Arabidopsis thaliana: one gene and its partners. The protein of the gene in region 4 interacts with the protein of the main gene of each other region in a pairwise test. Each region holds a gene or a part of one and is shown on either strand. Other genes may lie near its edges. The genes, in order: HAT3.1, IAA10, AT5G28040 and MBD02.

The links.
Region 1: the proteins of MBD02 (region 4) and HAT3.1 interact in binary tests that used the Arabidopsis thaliana proteins (3 or more experiments, as listed by UniProt).
Region 2: the proteins of MBD02 (region 4) and IAA10 interact in binary tests that used the Arabidopsis thaliana proteins (3 or more experiments, as listed by UniProt).
Region 3: the proteins of MBD02 (region 4) and AT5G28040 interact in binary tests that used the Arabidopsis thaliana proteins (3 or more experiments, as listed by UniProt).

Annotation. Positions count from the first base shown.
Region 1 is NC_003074.8:6,761,884-6,769,116, forward strand, and holds HAT3.1 (Homeodomain-like protein with RING/FYVE/PHD-type zinc finger domain-containing protein), read right to left. Parts: upstream 4,715-7,233; 5' UTR 4,646-4,714; intron 4,597-4,645; exon of another isoform or gene 4,407-4,596; intron 4,263-4,406; 5' UTR 4,167-4,262; coding exon 3,538-4,166; intron 3,417-3,537; coding exon 3,251-3,416; intron 3,144-3,250; coding exon 3,020-3,143; intron 2,929-3,019; coding exon 2,816-2,928; intron 2,733-2,815; coding exon 2,175-2,732; intron 2,091-2,174; coding exon 1,800-2,090; intron 1,704-1,799; coding exon 1,614-1,703; intron 1,523-1,613; coding exon 1,322-1,522; 3' UTR 878-1,321; downstream 1-877. Other genes in the region: AT3G19508 (complex 1 protein, LYR family protein), read right to left, coding at 495-548, 622-813; AT3G19515 (apoptosis inhibitor), read right to left, coding at 4,989-5,076, 5,169-5,290, 5,522-6,481, 6,560-6,806, 6,905-7,002, 7,091-7,156. UniProt on the Arabidopsis thaliana protein: Binds only to large DNA fragments. Recognizes a DNA fragment carrying 8 copies of box7 motif of the light-induced cab-E promoter of Nicotiana plumbaginifolia. Also recognizes the box7m1 motif.
Region 2 is NC_003070.9:1,057,247-1,062,388, reverse strand, and holds IAA10 (indoleacetic acid-induced protein 10), read right to left. Parts: upstream 2,920-5,142; 5' UTR 2,660-2,919; coding exon of another isoform or gene 2,581-2,659; coding exon 2,309-2,580; intron 2,107-2,308; coding exon of another isoform or gene 2,066-2,106; coding exon 1,755-2,065; intron 1,658-1,754; coding exon 1,525-1,657; intron 1,433-1,524; coding exon 1,363-1,432; 3' UTR 1,180-1,362; downstream 1-1,179. Other genes in the region: SDD1 (Subtilase family protein), read left to right, coding at 1-932; AT1G04090 (vacuolar sorting-associated protein (DUF946)), read right to left, coding at 3,142-4,754, 5,059-5,142. UniProt on the Arabidopsis thaliana protein: Aux/IAA proteins are short-lived transcriptional factors that function as repressors of early auxin response genes at low auxin concentrations.
Region 3 is NC_003076.8:10,034,690-10,041,413, forward strand, and holds AT5G28040 (DNA-binding storekeeper protein-related transcriptional regulator), read right to left. Parts: upstream 4,313-6,724; 5' UTR 4,249-4,312; coding exon 2,965-4,248; 3' UTR 2,895-2,964; exon of another isoform or gene 2,348-2,894; intron 1,428-2,347; 3' UTR 854-1,427; downstream 1-853.
Region 4 is NC_003076.8:13,522,169-13,527,684, forward strand, and holds MBD02 (methyl-CPG-binding domain protein 02), read right to left. Parts: upstream 3,631-5,516; 5' UTR 3,453-3,630; exon of another isoform or gene 3,108-3,452; 5' UTR 3,103-3,107; coding exon 2,657-3,102; intron 2,552-2,656; coding exon 2,498-2,551; intron 2,080-2,497; coding exon 1,922-2,079; intron 1,718-1,921; coding exon 1,557-1,717; 3' UTR 1,235-1,556; downstream 1-1,234. Other genes in the region: AT5G35320 (DBH-like monooxygenase), read left to right, coding at 1-112, 597-976. UniProt on the Arabidopsis thaliana protein: Probable transcriptional regulator.

The DNA of each region.
Region 1 (7,233 bases), on a different chromosome or scaffold from region 4:
ACAATCTCAAAAAGACTTTGGTTTTGGTTAGGTTGGTTTCATATAAGATTTTCGAGTTTTCGACAAGGACCTAAACTCTTAGCTACTGTTTATTGTCCCTTAGCTACATATATATCACTTTAATTACCCAAACAATCCCTAATCTTTCTCTCTCGTTATTACTTAACTGCCACTTCTACTTTGCTCTGATGAGTTTCTTTCATTACCAAAGATGAGATTAAGTAATGTGATGTTTTCGAATCTAAGAATGTAACAATTTTATTCAGGATCATGGAAACAAACAAGAAGCTAGCTACTCAAACAAGACAACGACCAATTCAGCAGTCAATCACAGAAAGTCAAGACAACTAAAAAGGAAAGACAAAGACACATGAACAACCCCTGTTCTTGATATAGCTATCAAAAGTAGAAAACTGATGGTACCCATTTAACAAATCGTCCAAACTTGTTCCAACACTCTCAGGGACATAACGTCGAACACTTGGTGTGCGTTATTATTCAAAACAAATCTCTTTCAACTTCGTCGCTGCTGATTCGTCAATTGAGTACTGCAAATGATTGAGAACAGACAGTTAACACAAAGGGTACCTAGATTTAAAAGAAACCCAGAATCTTTGTTACCTTCTTGAGTACCCAAAGTGAGTGATTATAGGCTCGCTGGAAGAGTTCGTCGAGGGATGTTTCGCTTTGATCGACTTCACGGTAATTAACGAAATTCTCCCTGGCGTACTTGGCGTAATACGGCCTTGAATCCGCCGGCAAAAGTCTCACCAGCCTCATAACGCCGCCGTATACTCTCAGCACCTTCTTCATTTTCGTTTACCTTCTGCAACACGTTACCCAATTCTAGGACTCTAATACTGTATCATAAACATCCATGGGCTCTTAATGGGCCTTTAATAATAAGCAATTACAGACCGGTTAAACGTTCACATTTGAGGGTTTAAAACCGGTTCAAACAAGACTTTTAAAGTTTAAATCTCTTGATCTCTTAAACCGGTCTCTATCGATTACAGAAACCATAACTCAAAACATCTCTCCAGATGGAAATAAACAAAAACTTTCATAATCATAACACAAAGCCTTAACTTCTTTAACTGTTAAAAATGAACCTATCATCCAATTTCGAAGAAAATCTTTCTTTCTTTCTTTTGCCTCAAATTTCAAGGTCTTCAAAGTACCCCAAAAATGTGAAACAAAGAACTGAACAAACCCGATGCTTTGCAGGGTTTGGTGTCTTCATATCTCGGGGTTTGGGTAAGTATGTGTTCCAGTATTGTCCTTGCATTAGATCTAAAACCTTCATGATTGAATCTAAAGTCTACTTTCTTCTTCTTTTCCGTGATCCAGTATTGGTTGGTTTCTCTGCAACTGACTCGGTTTCCATAGTTTGTTTGCTACTTCCAGCAACAGATGTCTCACATTCACCTTCCTTGCCTGTTTTTAACTTCTCGACATTTTCCTCTGAAACTAAAGGTTTGCTGTTTATCGACCAACGCCTATGCTTAAACCAGTTATTAACCTACAGAACATAATCAGTTCTTAGCAGAGATGAAACTAGGTCGACTAAAAGGGAGAACTAAACAAACAATTTACTAGGAGAAACTTCTTACTTGCTTAACTGTCATTTGTAGCTCTTTGGCTAAGCTCTCCTTCGTGGCTTTGTCTGGATATTGATTCTCTTGAAAAGATATGTACAGTCTCTGCATAAAAGAGGGATCCTTTCAATCCATTGCTCCCTCCCTCATAATAATGTAAGATTGGCACCTTAAAGCCTCAAGACAGCTATATCTTTTTACCTGAGTTTTGGGATCTGTCTGTTTACATGCTGAAGAGCTGCTTTTTTCAATTTCACCAGAACCACCATTTTCTCCAGGACCTTCTTGTGGCATTTCTAAGGTATCCTTTTTATCTGCCCTTTTCGACTTCCGTATAAGTTTCTTAGAAGTATGATCTTCTGCATTTGAAGACTGTTTCAGAGGTACAGTGTCCCCTTCATCTTCCGACTCGGAATCTTCTTTTCCCATTCTTGCAGTTTTATCCCAATCGTCATCATCACTTGACGAAGTCGGAACATTGTCATATTCCTCCTGCACATAGAAGAAAAATACCATTCAGAGGTTTTTCCAAAGCCAGATAGAAATCGATTATCAAGAAAAAGAGAGATCACTCACATCATACAACTTTTTGTAATCCAGCCTTTCAACATTCCTCCTTCTGGATACACCGGCAGGACCATCATCAAGCCCAACATCTGACTCTAAAATTGCATCACCTTGGAGCTGAGACGTCTGTCTGCCAGGATCCTCAAGTGGTGTATCTTCAGCTTGCTGATTAGTCTCATCTCCTTTGAAGGAAGTTTCAAGATCTTCAGTGTCTGATGTACAATCAGAATTTGAACTTTCTTTATCATCATCACAAGTCGGGGCATCAGGATCATAGTCATCATCCTCAGAATCATCAGATGGAAGGGCCATTACATCTTTCATTATATCTTTCCCTTCTTTAAATGACTCAATCATTTCGTCAGATGCAGATGTGAATTCAGTTTCATCAGAACTACCATCTTCGTTCTCAGATTCTTCATTGTCATCACTGCCATCTTCATCATTTTCATTATCATTCAAACAATCTGGATCATACTCTTCATCATCAGAATCATCTGAAGGAAGATCACAGTCAAGATTTTGACCTCCACCAACCAGCGCTGCTGCTGCCTCAGGAAATATTTTCTACACAAAAGTTCAAGGCAGGTGTGTTTTTAAGTGTTTTCTCCTCTTTAACAATAAAAACCTCAACATATATAGTTATATACCTCCCAACTGTCGCTGACCGAAAATTTTGTCCCTAAAGAATCATTAAGCAAGTCCAAGCTGTCATCTTTGCAATCACATCCGGGGCATAGCCAACCCTCATCATCCGGAGGAACTACAAAAATTAAAACCAACAAAAAAGACAGCTGTAGATACCAGCAAGAACTGCTTAAAACACTACCAAGTACGTAGGCAGAGAATATTACTATCTTCTTTCCGCAGAGGTGGTTCAAGACAGTATTGGTGAAAGCCTCGATCGCAAAACCCATCGCATAGTATGATATCATTATCAACAGACAAGTCCTTTGAACCACATTTTGCACAGAAGATCTGCGATTAAACAACTGCTCGTATTATCAATACTTCTAGAGACACAAACTGGTTCTATCAGGATAAACAAGGGAACAAAGGTTGAGTTCAGAACAATATTCTCTTACATCCTCGCTAGAAATCTCTCCATCAGTATCAAATAAAGACTCTGGAAGGCTTCCTTCAGCACAGAGTGTGTCAAGGTGCTGAAAAAGATCTCTAATTTTAAGCTTGCGCCGCAAAATTTCCTTTGTGGCTCGTTCAAGCTCTTTCTCTGGCCTTATCTTTTCCAGGCTACAAAGAACACATAATCAACAAGACTGAGTGAGATCAGAAATATATCTCACAGAGGATACCTATAACTCTCAAATAATGCATGAATAAGAGGGAAAACAAATGTCATCAAGAGACAAACCTTGAACCTTTCCAGCCTTCTAACGAATAGGCGTCAATTAGGCTTTGCTCATAGTTAATCCGGTTTAGAAAGTATCGAAGTTTCTTTTTGATTCTTGTGTACTCATCATCTTCTCTAACTTGTCCTTTGTTCATAGTCTTATTCTTTTTCTTTGGTCGACCTACAGGTGTGGAATTAGCAACAACCGAAGATGGTCCAGCATCTTCCTTAGATCTCTGAGCTCTCTTGTGACTTGCAAACAACACATTCCTTTCTCCACCTCCTCCTAACCTCTTCGAACTCGTAGATGCCCTGGACCGGTTGTGGATTTCAAATTGTCCACGGCAAGGAAGACCGATGACAAGCTCACGATGAGACCCTGAAAATTTGGTATTGGTATTAGAATCCTTCTTCACGGTTTGAGGGGTTGGTTTCTGTTCTTCATTCCCCTTTCCATGATCCATAATCTCATGATGCAAATGTCCATTTCCGTTTGCATCAGTTGGCATGTGACTCCCTGCCTCTGATGATTTGCCTTGTTCAGATACTCTGTCAACAGTTGGACTAATCTCTCCTCCATTATCTACATTTGTCTGCTTCAAACCAGATCCACTACTTCTAGTTACCCGCTTACTTACTGCTTTATACATTCTCTACAATCAACTAGCTATGTTTATACTGCTATCCTCGAAGATGATGCACTCAGGCGTTTCTAAATCAGCAAAGGTTTAAATACTTGTAGATTCCTATATAATCAAACAAAGAAGCAAAACACACGTATATCAGATCAGAATCAATATGAGCAAACACAAGAGAAAAACCCACAAAAGAAAAATGGGAGCTTGGTAAATATTTCTGCGATTGCTTCGTCTAGTTCCTAAGCTACTTACGTGCTTGACAGAGATCTTAAACAAGAACATCAGACAAAAAACACAGATCGACCCTTGATATGGTTTTCGATGAGCACAAGAGAAGAAAAAACGCGATAAAGTAATCTTAGCTATAACGAGGTTAGATTTGGGTATTGCTAAGCTGAGTATTGAATTTTCTAAATTTCTACGAGATAAGAAAACAACCCAGACACTAAATGTTAAGCTTTTTCGATCTCTCTATCCGCCAAAAATTTTACCTTTTTCCCTCGCCCGCGAAATGTCCCGCGAGAATTGAGAAGAAACTCGGTGGGTGAGTTGAGAAGAAGAAGAAAAAAAGAAGAGAGAGCCTTGCAAGGTCGCTCAGAAGACAAAGGGAACGGAGAAACGGCGTAATTTGGGCTTCATTATGCATTATATTCTTAATGGGTCTACTTATGAGGCCCATTTGCATATCAATGTCTTGGTATTGTTGTTTTGTTTCTCTCTTTTTCGTCCCGTGACATGTTAAGGAGCCTTAAAAAGCCAACAAAAACTTGTACCTGGCTAATAGACAAAAGAAATACTCTTGTTTTACTAAAATAGGCCATGAAAGTGATTCCCTCAAATCCCATGTGCACAACCTGATGACTCTGTACGGGCCTTCTTTGTACCCACATCATTACCGGCTTCATTTGCAGGCCGTTTTCCTCTGTCGTAGCAAAAAGGAAACATACAACCATGAATCACAAGTCACAAACATTCAAAAGACTCACATTCAACTTTGGATCCAAATCAGCTTACCTTTCAACAATTTCTACAGGTTCGTGCATTCTTTCTTGAGGACCTTTCTCTCCAAATTTACTCAAACTTGTCAAACCTTCCGTAACCATCTTGATTTCTTCTCCACTTACATTGCCCAAGCTCTGGAATCATTGAAAAAATGTCAGAAAACGGCTAAAATAAGAAGAACACGATAATGGAAAGAACAATATCACACAACCAAGAAACTATTGTGCAGAATCAGGTATTTATCCTGTTGGAAAATATGAAAAAAATTGGCCCTGAGTCCCGATTCCGTTCAAATTCATGTGCCACACCAAAATAGTTGGTTTGAGTAAAACAGGAGATATACACAGGTATTCACGTCTCTGTACCTTGTCAGAATCAGGCATGATGTGCTCGTTCAAGGAGTTATGAAACTTGCTAGCACCAAAGTCAGGATATTGCATCTCTTCGGACTTCTCTTTCGGGTTATGTTCTGGATTCCCTTTCTGGTTATCTTCTGGATTCTCCTCTTCGCTTTCAGTTTCTTTCTCTCTCTCTCTTTCTTTCTCTTTCTCATTCTCATCTATATCTATGATGATGAATTCAGAGAGAAGATGCATCGGCTTAGAAGTAGCCCGAACATGTTCTTTTTTTTTAGGACTGGCACCCACAACCATGTATGTTGTCGCTAGAGAAACCCTAACATATCCTTCGTCACAAACTTTAGTACCATTGCTCATCTTACAGATGGCCACCACTTCTCCTTTATAGATCTCAATACTGGATACTATCACTGCATGATATGAGCGGAAACCTCTGGAATTTGTTCCGGGACCATAATAAATCTCCTCTCCTACGGTCCACAATTCCTTAAAAACAACTAAGTCCGCTCCTATGGGAAAATGTGGAAGCAATAGCAACGCCTCCTCCATTGATTCAATTTTTCGAACACTCTTTAATTTTGTCGTGTGCATATGTGGGTCGTCAGCATTTGGAGGCTGCCAGTCCTTACAGTCAAACTTCTTGCAGATCTCTCTAGGAATGCCATGCTGTTTGATGTATAGTAGGCAATCCTCTATATCATTTCCATAACAGTAATGCCCTTTCTCAGGATTTTCATCATCTTCTTTCTCAGGATTTTCATCTTCTCCAAGATACTCTGGTCGACAAAAGGAGCAAAGATACCATGGACACAGAGGAATATACTCTACCTCCCAGTTGCGCATAATTCTAGTAGCACTGACTAAGTCAGAGGCTGCATAAGCCCAACAAATGAGGTGAAAGAGTTGGTCTCTAATAAAACCTAGGAATTTCTTCCATGACTTGGACGTCACCAATTTTAATAATGTCTACAACAAAAACAAAAAAGTAAATCTTGATAATTTCTTAAAAGGTAATAAGTAGATGGTTATTATATAGAATATTACCGATTCTCGTATCCTCCAAAAGAGACAAGGTACTTTTGGATTTTCATGTAAGAAAATCCTACTTTCTGGTAACGTGTCTTGTGCTTGTTTAAGTCCTGATGAACCCACAAGTGCTTGAACCTGATCATCTTCTAATTCGCACATTCCCTCCATATCTAGTTTATTCAGCAAGTCTTCTGAGAGTTTGTCCATAAAATTATGAAACGCATCAATATCCGGGGGTATGCCATACATTAGGTCTGTATATCTGAGAAACCAAAAATCAGAAAAGAAGATGAGCCATGATAAGCATTTTATCATATTTGGGAAGCATGATAAGAAACCTGCAAAACTAACAATACTAACAAAGCTCTTGTATAGGCTAATGGCTTTGTGGCTTCTTTCCAAGAAAGCTTAACAACATTGGTGTCCCCGATAAAGGAAGGCACTTCTGCATGCAAAACCTGTAACATACATGGACAACATAGCTAAATCTGAGTTAGCTAAAGAAAAAAGGGGAAAAAAAGAAGAGGTTATGGCTCTGTTTTTCACCTCTGTCATTGCGAGTATGTTTATGCATGTTCTTAGTTCAGTTTTTGTATCTTGCCTCTTCATATACTGAAAGGAGGGTTGGCTAGATTAAACCGCAAAAGAGAATATATTATACTAGGTGGAAAGGGAAAGAGAAAGGAGTG
Region 2 (5,142 bases), on a different chromosome or scaffold from region 4:
TTCTGAAGGCTTATGTTAATGCCACGGTGAAACCAAAGGCGCGGATAATTTTTGGTGGTACGGTGATTGGGAGGTCACGAGCACCGGAGGTGGCTCAGTTTTCAGCTCGAGGACCGAGTTTAGCCAATCCTTCGATACTAAAACCGGATATGATTGCTCCGGGAGTCAATATCATTGCGGCTTGGCCTCAAAATCTAGGACCAACCGGACTTCCTTATGATTCAAGAAGAGTTAACTTCACTGTAATGTCAGGAACTTCAATGTCTTGTCCACATGTTAGCGGAATCACTGCTCTTATCCGGTCTGCATACCCGAACTGGTCTCCAGCTGCAATCAAATCCGCATTGATGACAACAGCGGATTTGTACGATCGTCAAGGGAAAGCGATAAAGGATGGTAACAAACCAGCCGGTGTGTTTGCGATTGGAGCAGGGCATGTGAATCCGCAAAAGGCGATAAACCCGGGATTGGTTTACAACATTCAACCAGTGGATTACATAACTTACCTCTGCACTCTTGGATTCACAAGATCAGATATTTTAGCAATCACTCATAAGAACGTGAGCTGCAATGGAATATTGCGGAAAAACCCGGGTTTTAGTCTCAATTACCCGTCGATAGCCGTGATTTTCAAACGTGGCAAGACTACGGAGATGATCACAAGGCGTGTCACTAACGTTGGGAGTCCTAACTCGATATACTCAGTGAATGTCAAGGCTCCAGAGGGGATCAAAGTTATTGTCAATCCTAAGAGACTTGTGTTCAAACACGTGGATCAGACGCTGAGCTATAGAGTATGGTTTGTATTGAAGAAGAAAAACAGAGGAGGGAAGGTGGCTAGCTTTGCACAAGGGCAGTTGACTTGGGTCAACTCTCATAATCTGATGCAGCGAGTTAGAAGTCCAATCTCTGTAACCTTGAAGACTAACTGAGCCAATGAAGGAAAACGTTTTTCATTCTGTTTCAAGACTGTGTTAGGTTTATTAGGTTTTTATGCTAAGAAAACCTCGTGAAGCTGATTGATTGTTGTTATTGTACGCACAAGAGCTGTATTTCATTTTCCAGGGAATGAAACTACTGGTGATTCTATCATATTACTGTAGCTTGATTTCATCACTAAACCCTAATCCAGATGCATGCCTTTGTTGTTATAGTGGTATATTGGATCAGGCACCAATAGAGTGAAAAACCCTAAATATACAAAGATCTTTAAAGACAAGGTTAAGCTGTTGTTTGATATTCACAAACGACCACAAGACATATGTACACTCATGTATAAACATATGCACATGTATATATGTGAATGTGATATATGAGTTACAGACCAAAGAGATGTAAACTGTTTTTGCTATATAGGACTCTCTACTTACCTACTCCAGCTCCAATTGATGTCTTCATGATTCTCAGTCTTGTCACAGACCCGAGGAACATCCTGAGAAGATGAAAAGATCGTTTTCATTGAAATGGATGTGCCACATTACAAATACAGATGATGAATGGGAAGTTATAAGGGTAGTCACTTACTGCCAAGGAACATCTCCTACAAGCATCCAATCTCCGTCTTTATCTTGATATGTTATGATATATTCCGATGAGCCATCCAGTAATTTCGAAGTACATGTTTCCTTAATTGTCTTGTATCCTTGTGTGTTGGATCCTACAAATCGATCAATCAAAACCAGTCAATTTCAAGAGACACAGAATTTGAAAAACAGAATCACATGGAATCTCATGAAACAGAATTAGTAACTGACTTGTTACAGGAGAAGGAATCTGGAAAAACATTAGATCCAAAGTTTTCTCTAAGGCTGCATAAGAATCCAGAGCATTGAGATCAACCTTCCTTCCAATTATAACTCCGTCCATTGTCACCTTCACAAGCATAGAAGTCCTGGACGATTTGATAAAGCAAGCATCATCGTTCTTAGCAGCAACCACTACACTTTTTGTAGTCTCCTTTTGAATGCCAGAACTCAAGCCGCCTTCCGTAGCTAAAGACTTTGCTTGATTGACCAAACTGTTGATTCTGTAAGTCCGTAGAGGCGGCCAACCTACAGCAACTTGTCTGCTCCATTACCAAAAGATATTAAATCAAAAGACGAACAAGTATAAACCAATATGATTCAAAAGTTTAACTAAACATTTCAGGGAACACTCTATTTGATTCAATCCTGTGATTCATTCATTCTCAAAGTTTAAGGTCTAAAAGCTCTATCCTCTAAGTTGCTTTGATTCTGTAACAATAAGCAATCTGAGACCAATCATTCATATAGGTTATAATATAAAGTCTCGAAGATGAATTTTTTACCTGGTTGCGTTTGAGGCGGCAGCCGGAGAAGAATCAGCAGAGCGTTTGGTCCCACTTTCCCTGGTCAGAGAAGAAGACGAGGAAGACAAAGACGATCGAACCTTCCGACGACCAATGCTAAGACCCAAAGCTAGGTCGAGCTCTGTCTCTGACACTGACTCGTCGGGGCAAGATGAATCCTCCGACGAATGTGCGGCGTTTTCGTCTTCTTCAGCTGGTAGTCCGATCATCACCGACCCACTTGACGAACAAACTTCTTGCAAACCATTCATTATCCCAAATTGCCAAACGAATACACAAAGCAAGAACACTAAAACCCTTGATTCAAATCCAATTATCGATCAAGTTTGAAGAAACCCATTAACCAAGCAAACCAAAAAAAAGGTTTCAACTTTCAACACCTCTACGATTCTGAATTTCGAGACAGAAAAAAAAAAAAAACTTGAGGTCACGCACGGATCCACAGAACTGAAATTGAGAACTAAACGAGGTTTTAATCTTGATTCGAGGGCGACTTCGATTCTCGGATCAAAAACAAGGAATTTTTCTTAAAGAGAGAGAGAATGAAATTGGAGGAACGAAAAATCGGAAACGGTACACGAATGTGTGCGTTGCGTTTGGTGGAGGTTTGTTCGTCTATATAACTTTATTATTTTAATTAAATACATGATGGGACCCACTTGTATACACTTCTAACGACAAGTTTTACGTTAATCCTACGCTAATTGTGTAATTAATCTCTTGCGCAATCAAAGCTTCATCTTCCTTTACAAGTTACACAGTTAGGGCTCCGATGGTAATCTCACCACATCTGTTTCCCAACAGTGAGAATTTCAACATCTTTCATCGCCATACCAATTGTTCTTCTCCTTTGGTCCTGTAGGACCTTCCTCGCCGGATAATTCCACCGGAAGTTTTCTAAGCACTGTGGCAAGCGAAACCCTAACCGTCCTCGGAAATCGATTCACCAATCTCTCTATCTCCTCTCTTGAATCGTACACAACCTTTGGTCCCCATTCTCTCATGTACTGCAACCACGGCGGTTCTGCCAACACACTGTTTCCGCTGAGATACTCCGCTGCAATGATCTCGTACCGTGAGCTCGAATCTACCAAGAGTTCACTACGCGCAGTGTCATTTCTTATCCCAATCCCAAGCATTGTCGATCCCTGTAAGTAAGTCCCAGCCCTAGGAAAGCTTGCGTGACCATGTTTTGAAGAGTAAACAACGGCTTTGTTGCTTCCGGGAATGATTTCAAGGTCGTATGCTTCGATCCACTCGCCGCCACTGTGTTGAGACAAGTAGATTGAGTAAAGCTCACCAGAGAAATTGCTGATTCGGAGAGTGAAATGTTCCCAATCGCAGACGTGTTGGCCAATACTGATCAATGAGATATCGACGAGTCCTAGTTTTAAGGTTGCTGGTCCGTTAAATGGACAGAAGATCCAGAAGACAAGATCCGTGAACGTTCCTCCAAGAGCAGGCTTAATATGAATGTAAAGTTTCGAGCTTTCAAGGTTTCCTCGCTTGACGAAATCTCTTTGTTGATCATCACACGGCAAATCAATCCAAAACTGCTTGTCATTGCTTCCTCCTTGAGGCAAATTCGAACCATTTTCATCGATAGGTTCCTCGATTGGATTTCCCTTTTCGCAGAGAACTGCACCATTTTTGAAGAACCACGAAACAGAAGAAGGTAAGTAAGTTTCACCAGGATGGAAGACTAGTGTAGGACCATAGTGTTGAATCAAAGCTTGAATCTGATCAACATTTGGCATCGCATGTAAACTCAAATCTAGATTCTTTAGACAAGCAATACCGATACCAAGATCTTCTCTAGCAGCAACAAGCCGAGTTCTGCAGAAGAAAGTACCTGCAGAGACACCTTTGCCCCACATTCCTCGGTCTGAAGGCCGAGTTCTCCATATAAACAAAGGAACACCTAAAGATTCTGAAACAGCAGTGACAATGACATTGTGGGGTTCACATATATCAGTAAGATCAGCTCTAACACATCTAACTTCATTCAACTCAGGTTTCACGGAAGTCTTTGTAACCACAAAACCGATCGATCTATACCCTTCAGGAGGCTGCGGTAACCAGAAGTAACCGCATTCGCTCTTACTACTACATTCATTTTCTGCTGAATCATTTGAGCTCCAGACAAGAGTAAAATCAACAGGTTCCACTAATGCAGGTTTCTCTACCTGTTCTAATGAATCCACTAAATCTCTTGCCGCAAGTACATAACCTCTCAAAGGATGAGAATCAGACTGACAGTAGTGACCTAAGCAATGGAAGTCTTTAGGTAACAATCCCTTTGGTTTGTAAAATGAAATGTTCTTCTTCTTCTCTGTGGATCTGTATCTCCATATAAATTCAAAATCCGTGATTTTGATGACTTGTAATTTGCCGAGATTGATTGTTCCAGAGCCAAAGCCTTGACCTGATCAGTTTTCAAAGGATGGAGAGACAAAATCTAAGAGACCCAGCTGAAAAATTTCTTCAAAACGCAATCTTTAAAGAATCCTCTTTGAAAACGCAAAAGATTTGATTGACCATTGTTCGAATTAGATTAGTGGATATAGAGATCTGATTGAAAAACCCAATTGAATTTCACGAAATTGAGGAAAATCGAGAAATAAAAATCTCTCTTTTGTCAAGGCTTAAGAAACCTAAAATTGAAATAGAATTTTTGAATTCGAAATCGTTGACAAGAGAAGTCGGGAATTGAATGGAATTGGAGTTACCTGGAGGCCAATGGGGAATGGAAGAAGGAAGAGAGAAGGTTTCAGGGTCCTTTAATGGCGGTAAATCTATAAGATTGTTCCAGT
Region 3 (6,724 bases), 3.5 Mb from region 4:
ACATTATATAGAGAGTGTATTTTTATGGTACGTTATTATGTGTTTGTTATATAGTATTTTTTTGTTAAAAATGAACGTATTTGGCTTAAAATAGTTTTCTTAACTAATACTTATATACATGTTTTTTTTATGATGAGTTATTACGTGCGTTCTTAACTAATATAGATGATATTAAATTAAAAAAGTAATTTAATTTCAAATGGTTTTTACAATATAAAAAAAAAAATTCTAGAGTTCAAATATTATTAATATTATAAAAAATTTATAGATTCTAAATATTATAAATACCAACTTATTAAGAGGTACACTGCGGGTTGATTCTTTTCCATTTATTTTATAATTTATAAATTTATGATTTTGTAAACTATAAAGTATATGATATTTAATAAGATGTAGCTCTTATAGTATTATTCGGCATTTACTATATAGCTAAATATTTATATGAATAAGATGAATGTTATTAAGTTACTATCATAAAGTTCAAAACTAAGTAAGTTTAACTAAATTGTAAGATAACTTAAAGATCGTCCAAACAAAAAATATGGTATAGGATTTAACCCGTGGTGTAAAATAAAATGAAATTTGAAAACTAAATAAAATTATAAACTAAAATTAAAAAAAAGTTCTTTGGGAGAATCTAAAAATAAGAAAGTTCTTTGAGAGATTTGGATATAGAGGATCTTTTTTTTCAATTTCCCTTAATCATAAACTAAAATAAAATAAATTACAAAATTATAGTTTTTTTCTTCCTTTTTTTTGTGCCAAAACATCTAAATAGAAAAGATTCTTTACATCTAAACCCCAAAACCACTAATTAGAGAAACGTTAAAAAAAATTTCCTAAGCAAAAATAGAAAAAAAAAAAAAAAAAAGAAGAAGAAAGGTTTTGTTTCTCTTTCTCTCCGCCGATGGTTGCGCAAGCGGAATCTTCTCTCAGCATTCACCTCGGCGTTTCTCCTTTTTCAGCGTTCACGTCGGCTTAAAAAGTTGCAATACCTAAAAGTTCAAAGAAGAGGGCAACATCTCCATCTTTTCCCATATTGCATCTAGAATGATGGGAGAGAATCTAACGCTTAGGCATAAGGTAAACCTTTTCCAAAGAATTCAAGTAATCAACAGCTCTTTCTCTGTTCACCACAATAAAAGTATGTTCATCGATTTCAATTTTAGACAAACCCTTAAAATTAAAATGAAAATCAAAAGCCAAAATCAATAAACCAAAATAGAGGATAAAAACTCTGTCAATCAAAATGGAGATAAGAATTAAGAATACTCACTTTCCTCACCAAAGCTCAAGCTCATCTTCAGTAATCGCATCTCTAACAACACGCTTATCTCTCGATCAGTCTTAGCACCAGAAAGCATCGTCAAAGCTCCATTAGAAGTGATTAACGAACCTTTCTCATACTCAATAGCTTGCTCATAAAGCTATACAAACAACAAAATCACAAACTCAATCTATTAAATTCGTCACACAAGCACTGATAAATATTCTGTATAGCAAAACATTTCTAGAGCTATGCATAAGAAATACCTTGCTATATGAGAATTCGGAGGGATCATTTAGACTGAGGCAAATTGTGGTTGTGGTAATTGTTCGATATGAGATGGTTATTTATAGTGGATCATTTAGACGTTAGAATGTTCTAGATATTTTAATTTAGGTAATATTCTGATATTCAAATATCTTGAGAATATATGCTTGTTATTAGTTTACAAATCTAAACAAAAAACAATACCCAAGTGTTAATGTGGTTACCTTTTTTGTAGGGAAATTTTGCCAAAAGATATATTAACAATGATTGACGAAAATTAACGAAAAATTGAACTCAAAATTTGAAAAAATATAAATTAGTTATGGAAGATGCTAAAGATTACCATTTTTGTAGGAAAGAAATCGATCACATTTATGTTTTTAGATATGACATTAAAATATTATTACAGTTTTTTCTAGAATTCAAATAGGAAACCATTTGATTTGAAAATAGTTGTTTGTTATAACTACATATACGATTTATATATTTTCAAATCAAAAACTAAATATTGTTTAAATATTTTTAGGCGTAAAGCCAATTAAGAACGGAAATACAGATTTCTCTAGTATATTGTGTGTTTATTTGAGGTAACAGAAATTAGATTTTGTGTTGCAATTGATAAAAGAAGAATAAATTTTGGTAAGATATCATTAGCATTTAAAACTAAAATTATTTTCGAATCAAATAATTGTAGATATGGTTAGTTATGATTGATTTCCGGGTTTTGTTAATTAGGAAATTAGCATAATGAATTTCGTATAGTTTTAGGGATTGATTTGTGCAATTTATGAGGGTAGTAGTTAACAATATCCATGTTTAGGCAAGTAGTTAGTGCAATATCTTAATTGTTTATCAAAAATTTGGTTATTGTCCTAAAGAAAATATTTTGTCTGATTGATTTTGTAGGGACTAACCATACAATATCGAAATTGAAAAAGGATTTTTCGACACAAATCGTCCCCAAAAATGTATATGTAGATATATCAAAGAGTTATAATAATAACTTCAACAGGTAACGAAGAGAAGACATAACACCAAAGATTCTACACTTGACACGTCTTCGGAATACATAGATCAAACTCCAAAAGAATACATGTTAATGTTCATTAATCATTAGATGTATAATATCATATTATATGCATCACACAAAAAAACATTATAAATAGCACAAAAGAGTTTTTTTTTTTTTTTGAACTCTACCAAAAACTATAATTTATCAGCTAAGAACAAAGGTTATTCACTCCTAATCGACAAAATTAAAAAAAGATTCAATCAAGAAAAAAAAATACTAAAACCCTAAAAAAGATTTCATCACCATCAGAAATTTTCATTAAGATTATTACTTTTGCTAATACTATACCTCACCATCATAATCTTTCTTCATCATTTTCTCATAACTTAAAGAACCCATTGTAGTCTTTCCTTATGCATCATCCTCCATTAGGCATTGTCTTTAACTCATTCACCGTGGCTCTAATCTGTTCTTGAACCAATTCTAATCTCCTCGAATACACTTCCAGCTCAAGAATCTGTTGTCTCCTCCACCGTTCGTCCCCTACTCCCTTACCACCAAACCCTAAATTCATCGACGGCATTAGCATCGGACTCAACACACCGAGAGCATGAGCACCACCTCCAGGAAACCCACCCGTTGCAGCCATCATCATACCCGTCGTACTATTCATCATCTCCTTAATCATGGGCGATACACAATTCTTAACCGTCTCTTCAATCAACACTCCAAGATTCCTCCCATCACCAAAATCACAACCAACAGCCACATTCTCGTTAAGATTAACCGCATTCGGTATCACCCCGTCACACGGAGCAAGAACAGGCTTATCCTCGTCGATCTTCCCGATCCTAGACCGTGATCGTTTTCTACTTATCGTCACTTTCTTCTCTAAACCATTCTCCGAATCAACATCGACATTCGCATTACCGATAACAGAGACATTAAAACCCGAGCTACCATTCGCGTTATTTACATGATTAGTTTCTTCTAAATCCATCACATTATTATCTTCAAAACCAATAATTTTCCCAGTTTGATTCCAAATCTTCCTAGAGATATCAAAAGTAGCTTGATCATGAGGACTTTTAAAGAACACTTCTTTACCAGAACTAAACTTACTCATAACATTCCTATACTTCTTCTTCAACCTCCTTAGCTTCTCCACAAGCTGATTCTTATTAAACTCTAACTGTAGCTTAGATTTAATCTGTTCATAAAACGGCGCCGTATCAGGCGGATGAGAGCTGTTACCACGGTGGTTTGTGATGTAATCGAGAAAGCCACGGAGAAGCTCGATCTCGTCTTCGTCAGTCCATAGTCTCTGGAATAAACGTCGTGAATCATCAATCGGTGGTCTCTGATGAACGATTTCAGTCATACGGTGCCATTTCTGATCGGAATCTGATGGAATTGAAGCTACAGGTACGGCGGATCCAGCGGGAAGAGCGACGGTTACGGTTCCTGAGGATGATTTCGTCGCCGGAGCTCTGGAAATCATTGACGGAGAATTCAGATCTTCGTATTCTGGATCGGGATCGGGATCGTGATCGTCGTCTTCGGCTTCGTTTGGTTCGGGTATAACAACATCTTCGTCGGATTCAGTTTCTCCTCCTCCTCTTCCGCCACCGCCACCGCCGCCGTCTTCTTCTAGATCTGGTGATTCAGCGGAGAAATCAGTGTCACGTTGATCCGATGCCATGAGAAAAACGTAGCGAGAGAGAAATTTTTCTGGTAGATCGAATCAGATCCAGAAAGAAGGAATTGGGTTCACGAGGATTGATACGGGTTTGTTTTTTGGGTGGTGGTAGGGTATGGAGAATATTGGAGATGAGTAGGGGTAGTTTCGGGATTTTAAGAGTTGTAATTATGACTAAGGGTGTTGCGGTTGCAGGCAAGTGGTCCAGTGTTTGTTTCTTTTACCCGTGCTTTGTTTGGGTTGTTGCGGTTTTAGTTGAAGCGTGATCATGTGTTTAAAGTCAATGGTCTACCGCAACCGCGGCGAAACAGAAAAGCGTTCGACAAACTTGATTTTGTTATTCTGTGTACTGTTGCGTTTCTTCAACGTCCCATATTAACGGGTGTTGTGATTGGTGACTGTTGTTTATGACGGTTAAGAATGTTTTTAGAGATTATAGAAAAAGCGATTAGAGAAAATGCGATGACATAACAATGAAAAAAGGTGGTTACTTTAAATTGAAAAAAATTGTTATAAGGAAGGAATATAAGAGATTAGATAACATATAAAATTACTTTTACTATTAATAATCTCTTAATAGAACAATACAAATAAAGTTATATTGAAAAAACTAATACAGTATCAAAACAATTGGTAAACTCACAGATTTTTCATGTGGCTTACAATCGGCTTGTTTTAATTTTTAACCGCTCACTTCATTTGTTGTAACACCCAATGGCTATTTTTAGGTATGACTGGTTTAAACGCAGTGGATATTGTATGACTTGCGAGAGTTTGTAAAACGGACGGTTGTGATTTTAAACATTATGAAATATTTTTCAATGATATGGTTAGCTTTTGAAAATTGGTGCATTTACAGAAATTTTATGAATGATTAACCAGCCGGTTTGAACGAAATTAAACCAAATAAATATAATTAATAATTATAGAAAGTATAATTACACCAAATATTTTTTATTATAATAATAAAATGTAACATAATTTAAATATAATTAATAATTAAAATCATATATAACATTCTACATAATTATTCAAAATAAATAAATTTCATAGTTAAATGTTATTACTCCATGCATTTAGTTCATGAAAAAAATATCTTTATACTAATATAAGGAAAGTACCTTTAGAAAATTCACATTGCCTTTTCTAAAGTATTACTAACCAATGCCATTAGAAGTATAATTTCAAAGTCCAAATTAATTCACCTCATTAAGAATAAACAAGTCAAATTACATAAGATCTATTTGTTTTTCTCGCGGGTTAGAGATCTTATACATATGTTATGTTAGAACCATTACTTGACCAAAATCAAGAAACTCTTTACTTGATCAAAATCGCTGGTTACAAATCTTATATATACTGCTTTTTCAAGAAACTCGGCTCTCTAAATCCTTATTGCTTTGAAGTACGCTTTAACCAACTTCCTCATTATGCATTGAAATTTGGCTTGGTGTTGTGGTAAATCTGACTCTCAATCTATGAATTTCTATAGCTATGCTTTAAACTCGATTTTGAATCTCTATAGCTTTGAAGTGGTGGAAAAGAACCAAAAGTATGCTTTTCTTTTTATCGCTCTCTTGATTTTGTTTCAGGGTTTTTTATTATGTTACACATGCTTTATATATATATATATATATATGTTTGGTGTTAATGGCTTCTCATTCTTGACTATGCAAGTTAGTAAATTTCTCCTTATGTCGCTAAATTTTCTATTTCTCTAGGTTTAGATTTAGAATTATAGTTTTGGTGATGACTACTAAACAAATTTGGTGCTTCATAATAGGTAATTATCTCAGCTCTACGTCTTCTCGATGAGGTTTTGCACCAACAAATCGATAATTGTTGGACTATTGGGCTCTCTAACCAATTCACATGAGTAGGAAGAACTTTGGGATATATTGTTAATAATGAATCCTTATGAATCTAGTACCTATTCAATGGAGTTAACAAGGACCACTTTACTCCAAAAGGAGCCATAGATAACCTCCTTAGCGCGAAATCATTTTGGTTAATGAAAGGACTATTCTGGAGAGACTTTGTTCTCTACCTTACAAACTTGGTGTTGCAAATGAAGTTGTAGAGTTATATTAATGTATAGTTATTGCTTTTATTTGGAGTGTTTTAGAAATGAATTCATATTTGTTTTTTAATTTTGCTAACTAGATCAATGCATCAAGATTCAAAGTAGTTGATCTTATTGTTCATAGAGTAGAAGACTATGAAAATCTTACCAACTTTAACAAAGATTTATTTCGCTGTCTTAATCGAACGCATGTGGCTTTGTTGTTCCAGTCTTTTAGTCCTTTGGAAATATTGGAATAACGAAGAGTAGAAGATTACATTAAGATGGTTATGGATTTCTAATTTATATCTCACTTTGTTGAGATAAAAGGGTTACATTATACGCCCAAAAACCTTAAGTTGAAGTTCAAGCATGTAAATTTTGTTGATCAGATGCTGCACAATAGTTACGTTGAGG
Region 4 (5,516 bases):
CTTGAGCCGGTTAACGATGAGAGAGCAATTGTTCTATTTAAGCCTCTTCATTATCATCAGCCTTCTTCTGGAAACGTATTTGTTGATCGACACTTGATTTCTGGGTTTAAGAGTAAGTTTCTTTCAACTTTCATCAATTTGTTCATGTTGTGATTGAAGCAATGGTTCATGATTAGGTATAACGTTGTTGTTGAAGTGTATTAGTGATGATTCTTTTGAACTTTCTTTAGTAATGAGATAAGTTTCAGTCTATGATTGTTAAAGGGCTTGTAAGTTAACTTTAGAAACTACTATGTCACAACAATGTCTTAGCTCAATAAGTTAAGAGTATCTTCTTTATTTTGAGATATCTCCATAAGTTTCAGTAAACAGTGCAGATAATCTAGTTTATATGGTATGAGCTCATATAGTTTTATATGTTGAACAGATTGTCATGTTAACTGGGAAATTATCATAGATATTATGAGGATTTTGCTGTGTCTTAGTGTCAGATTTTGTTCTGGTTCGTTTTGTTTGTTTGCCTTTAACTTGTGATCCAGAATGTTGACTAAATACAGACGGTTGTGTCTAAATTCTGAATGTTAACACTTGTGCAGATAGATTTCTTCGCGATGTATCGATAGCTGATGATAATCAGTATGAAGATGAGAGATTAAACAAGTGTCAAGCTGTTGTTTGCTGGAATCCGTCTCAGTCTACTTACTCACAGTCCATAGGAACCTTCCAACAACCGCGGACACTAGAGATTACTGAGTTGGATGAGACAGGTGAGGATGTGGTAATGGATGATGCATCCAATGAGATAGAAGAGGATACTGGAAGCACCAGTCTATCTTTCCCTCAGCAAGGACAGCAGCAAGAGCAAGAGCACACCTATGGTTTTGGCTTGCATCCGTGGCAGCAAGCGCAAAACTGTATGATTCCGCAGCTTCCTCAAGTCAGTACTACTCCCACTCCCATCACTTGGTTCCGATGATACGGCTTAACCACGGGAAAACTGAATAGGGAATGCACGAAGCAGGATAGTAGAAGGCAGATTTGTTGTTAGTTTTTGTTTCTGCCTTTTGCGCAGATTAGAGATATGGCATAGTTTTGTTGTTGTATGTTTACCAAACTAATAGCTTCAGCCATATCTCCCCTAGGATGGTTTTGACTTTCGAATGTTATCTTTTGGATGTCGTTAAAATATCCTTTGAGATAAACTACGTTCCAACTTAACATGCACATCTACAGTTAAACAGACTCTGATCTATTCTTATCTGCTTTCTTGTGTCAGTCCTCTAGTGGATTTGTGAGATAATGGAATTTGGTAATAATCAAACTTTAGGTTTAAAAACTTTCAGCATGAAAATCCAGTTATTTGGAAGCAAAAACCAAAAGGACCCATCTTCTTCATAGAAAGTATGTTACACTGCAAAACAAAATAGATGGTATACACAAAAAACAAGCTAACCACATGCTTTCAGTTTCTTCGATAAGACAAACCCAAAAAACGAAGAAAGAAGACGGGTTATATACCAGAGAAGACGAGATAAGTTCACTCTCGTCTAGCTAGATTATCTATCAGCAAGTTCGTCGTTGGAGCCAAAGATTGATAGCGTCGATGTTTTTTTCTTTTTCGATGGTTGGTAATGTGAATTGTTAAGTCCAGACTCGGTTGGCGTACCTAGCTGCAACGATATATGATCATCTGGAGATATCCATGCCAGTGGATTAGCTGAAAAATAACAAGACAAGCGAAATGTTAGAAACTTGTAAAAGCATAGACGTTTTCATGTTAATAAAGTTCCCTAAAGACACCAATGTTCGGTTCGAGTATACGTCAAATACACTCTTGACTGAAAAAATGACATCAATAATCTAAAGCCTTGATACAAAAGATAACCACAATTATATTTATGTGCCTTGATAAGCAACACACCTTCTTTAGCTACAGGGGTGTTTGTATTATCGATGGAATCCAGTAGTCGAGCTGGGCGCTTCCTCACGTAGTCATCCTGCAGCGGTTTCGGGATTTGAAACGAGAACTGTGAAAGTTTCACCCCTTCTCCAATGTATTCGGAGTTGTCATTCAAGTACCTGCAAACCAGTAATAGTGGTTATAAGGGTGTAAAGAAGCTAGCTATACGTCACTGAAAACAATTTGGTAATCACTAAACGAATTGGTAAGTCACTAAGCTTTTTTCTCCTACCATTGTTGTCACTCTCAAATGCTGCAGGGAAGTATCATGGAAATAAGGATGATAGTTTAACTAACTTCTTGGCATAGTACATTTTCGTTAGTAAACAAAACACATGCAAGGATTTCTGTAATTTGCATAAGTGCCTAACTCTAGTTATGACCACAGAACAATACTTGAGGTTCCTACTGATTCAATATATTGGTTGACGAAAATGGTAAGACTGATACAGTGAGACCTCATCAAACATAAAAGTAAGGAACACTTTGTTAAATGTGAAAACGAAAATGTGGAAATGGAGTGGTAGAGAAACTAACTTTTGGACCTCCACAGTTGATCGAAGCTTCTTTCCAGACGGAGCAACATAATAACTGAAACAACCAAGATAAAAGAATGATAAAGAAAGCCAATACAATGGTATAAAGAAGAAAGACTAATATTAACATAAATGAGAGAAGAGTTAACGAACGACATACACATCAGCAAATCTGGTACCTCCTTCACCTCTAATCCGCAGTAAACGTTGCCAGCCAGCGGGTGGACGAGAGATATTCGGTTTATCAATAGCCCAAAGACGAGTTCCATCTTGATAGATATCAGCAGGAACATCACAAGAAATATCCGGCTTCCACTCACGCGCTGTATCGCAGAAAAACGGGTTTTCAAGAAGCTGTTCCCTAATCTCTTCATACTTCTGCATTGAAGGCATGAGTCTCCATTTGAAACAACTTGCACACTGAACCGTAAATGCCCCGATAGAGGGACACTGTGTTCTAGATGACAAAGGCTGAGATTGAACCGGTAGAACTTCTTCTTCAGTATCATCATTTCCTTTCAAGTCATAAACCACTAACTGATTCTCACCTCTATCCTCATTAGGTGAAGACGATCTTTGGACAGCTCGAGACTGCGACATACTCATAGAAACTACCTATAATAAATGGTTAGAGAAATGAATGTCAAGTGAAAACAAAAATGACAAATTTAGTTAACAAGAATCATTCATCACAATAACACTAGTCTCTCTATTAACATCATAAGAGAACATGATCAAGAAAACATTGATACGTGTAAAGAACAGTGAACAGTAGAAACCCTCGAACATTTCAATCTCAAAAATCAACAATAATCATAAAACAGAGCAAAGGAAACAACAATTATCATATAATCAAAGAAGAACATGAGCTGATAGAGACGAGATCCAAAAAAAAAACAATTTCATCGAAAAGCCGAAACAAAGATTAAAAATTTATCAAGAAGAAGAATCGTTACACGAAGAGGACGAGAGCAAACCAGGGTTTCAGAGATCGGTGAGCGAAGAAGGCTCTAAAGATCGTTGTGGTTAATTTGAGAATTTCATTTTTTGAGACAGAGCCAATTCAGACAACACTCTTTGTCTAGATAGAAAATGGGGAAACCGAGAAAGAGAAGAGAGAAAGAAACTGAATTTAATTTATTTTGTATAAATATAAAATTTGTTGTTACGAAAATAATTCTTAATTTACATTCACTTCAAAATATATCATGCTATAAGTAGGAGAATATTTGTGCTTTTGGGCTTATAAACAAATCTTACCATTAATCAAAATTTCCTTCAGAAAAAAAGAATCAAAGGATAATTCTTTCTAATATTAGATATGGATTCGTGTTGTGCATGCTAAATAGATGAAATATGTCTAACAAATATTTGCCATTGTTTAACAAATATTTTGAGACTTCCATAATATGTAAATTAAACTTTAATAAAAACAAATATATGTCAATTGTTGATTTTTTTTTTTTGGGTCAAAATATATGTCAATTGTTGATATAAAATATTAGGCCTGCGACTTCGGGTAAACCGAACCGAACCGAGTCGGTTATTTCGGGTTTCGGTTATTTTGGATTTTTGAAAATTCTTCCGAAACTAACCGAAATTTATTACGGTTCGGTTCGATTCGGATATTGGTTTCTTTGGTTTTTAAGTTTAAAACCCGAAAATAACCGATTCTTTTTTTTTTATTTTTTTTTAACATTAACAGATATACTTTATTAGAGGGATGATGTGTAATCCTATGGAGGATTTGTACAAGAAACAGAGGTACATAAGAATGAGAGACAAAAGTAACAATGTTTTCTAACTCCACTTTAGCTAATCGATCAGCTGCTTTGTTAGTTGACCGGAAAGACCATTTGATAATGGCAGTAGAAAACTTCTTCCGCCAATGTTGTATCTCCATGACGAGGTTATGAAGTTCAAAATTCCTTGTGTTCCCATTGAGTAAGCTTTCCACAGTCCTATTATCACCTTCAAATATAATCTTTCGATATCCTCTACTCCATGTATGTTGCATTGCCATCAAGAGAGCCTGTAGTTCCGCTTCTAGCACTGAGTTGCATAGTTGTCTTGTACCTTGAGCCGCAAGTAGATAACTGCCTGTGTCAATTCGTAAAATCCAACCAGCCTTTGGTGCTAGATCATTCCTTGAGAAACTGCAGTCATAATTGCATTTGATAAAGCCGTGAATAGGTTTTTGCTACCCTTGCCCGCTTCTGTCATTTAGACTTCGTCGTTGTGTGTCTCGCTGCAGAGGAATCCACTCATATGAGTCTGTTATCGCTTTTTGTACATCATCTTGCCAATTACTCCCTTTTCGCTGGTAAACTAACAAATTCCTGCTCTTCCATATGTGCCACAACATCCATAAAGGTATTTGTCTTGTGATATGGTCTTGTCTCGTATCAGTACAGCATTGAAGGATTAATCTGAATTTATCTTCAAAAGGTAAGTGTGGATTGAAAAACGCTGTATGTGACACCGGAGAGCCCCTCCAAATAGCTTGAACATAATGGCATCCAAAGAATAGGCGTTCTAATGTTTCAGGAGCTGCACAACATCGTTTACACTGTGAATCTGAAATGATATGTCGTCGTGTCAAGGCCTCGCCTGTCGCCAATGATTGAGTTACTATCCGCCACATGAAGTGCTTTAGTTTTGGTGTCGTGTCTAGCTTCCATACTACTCTCTTAAACTCGGGTAAACCTGGTGGGGGAACATAATCATGTTGTTGATTCGGTAGATGTGTACAGAGCCAATAACTTGATTTGAATGTGTATTCCCCATGCTTTGTGTAGTTCCAGCCTAGTACATCAGGGGACGGTTGTGATCTTAATCTTAACCTTGTATCAATCGTGCTTCATCTGCTTCAAAGAGTTCTTCTATTACTTCTTTATTCCACATGTTTCTGCCATCTTGCATTAGGTGCTTGACTTGTGTATGATTGGTGACCGTCGCATCACGTTTTTGAGGTGGTCTTGGTGGGTGTGTTGGAAGCCATGAATCAGTCCATATGTTTG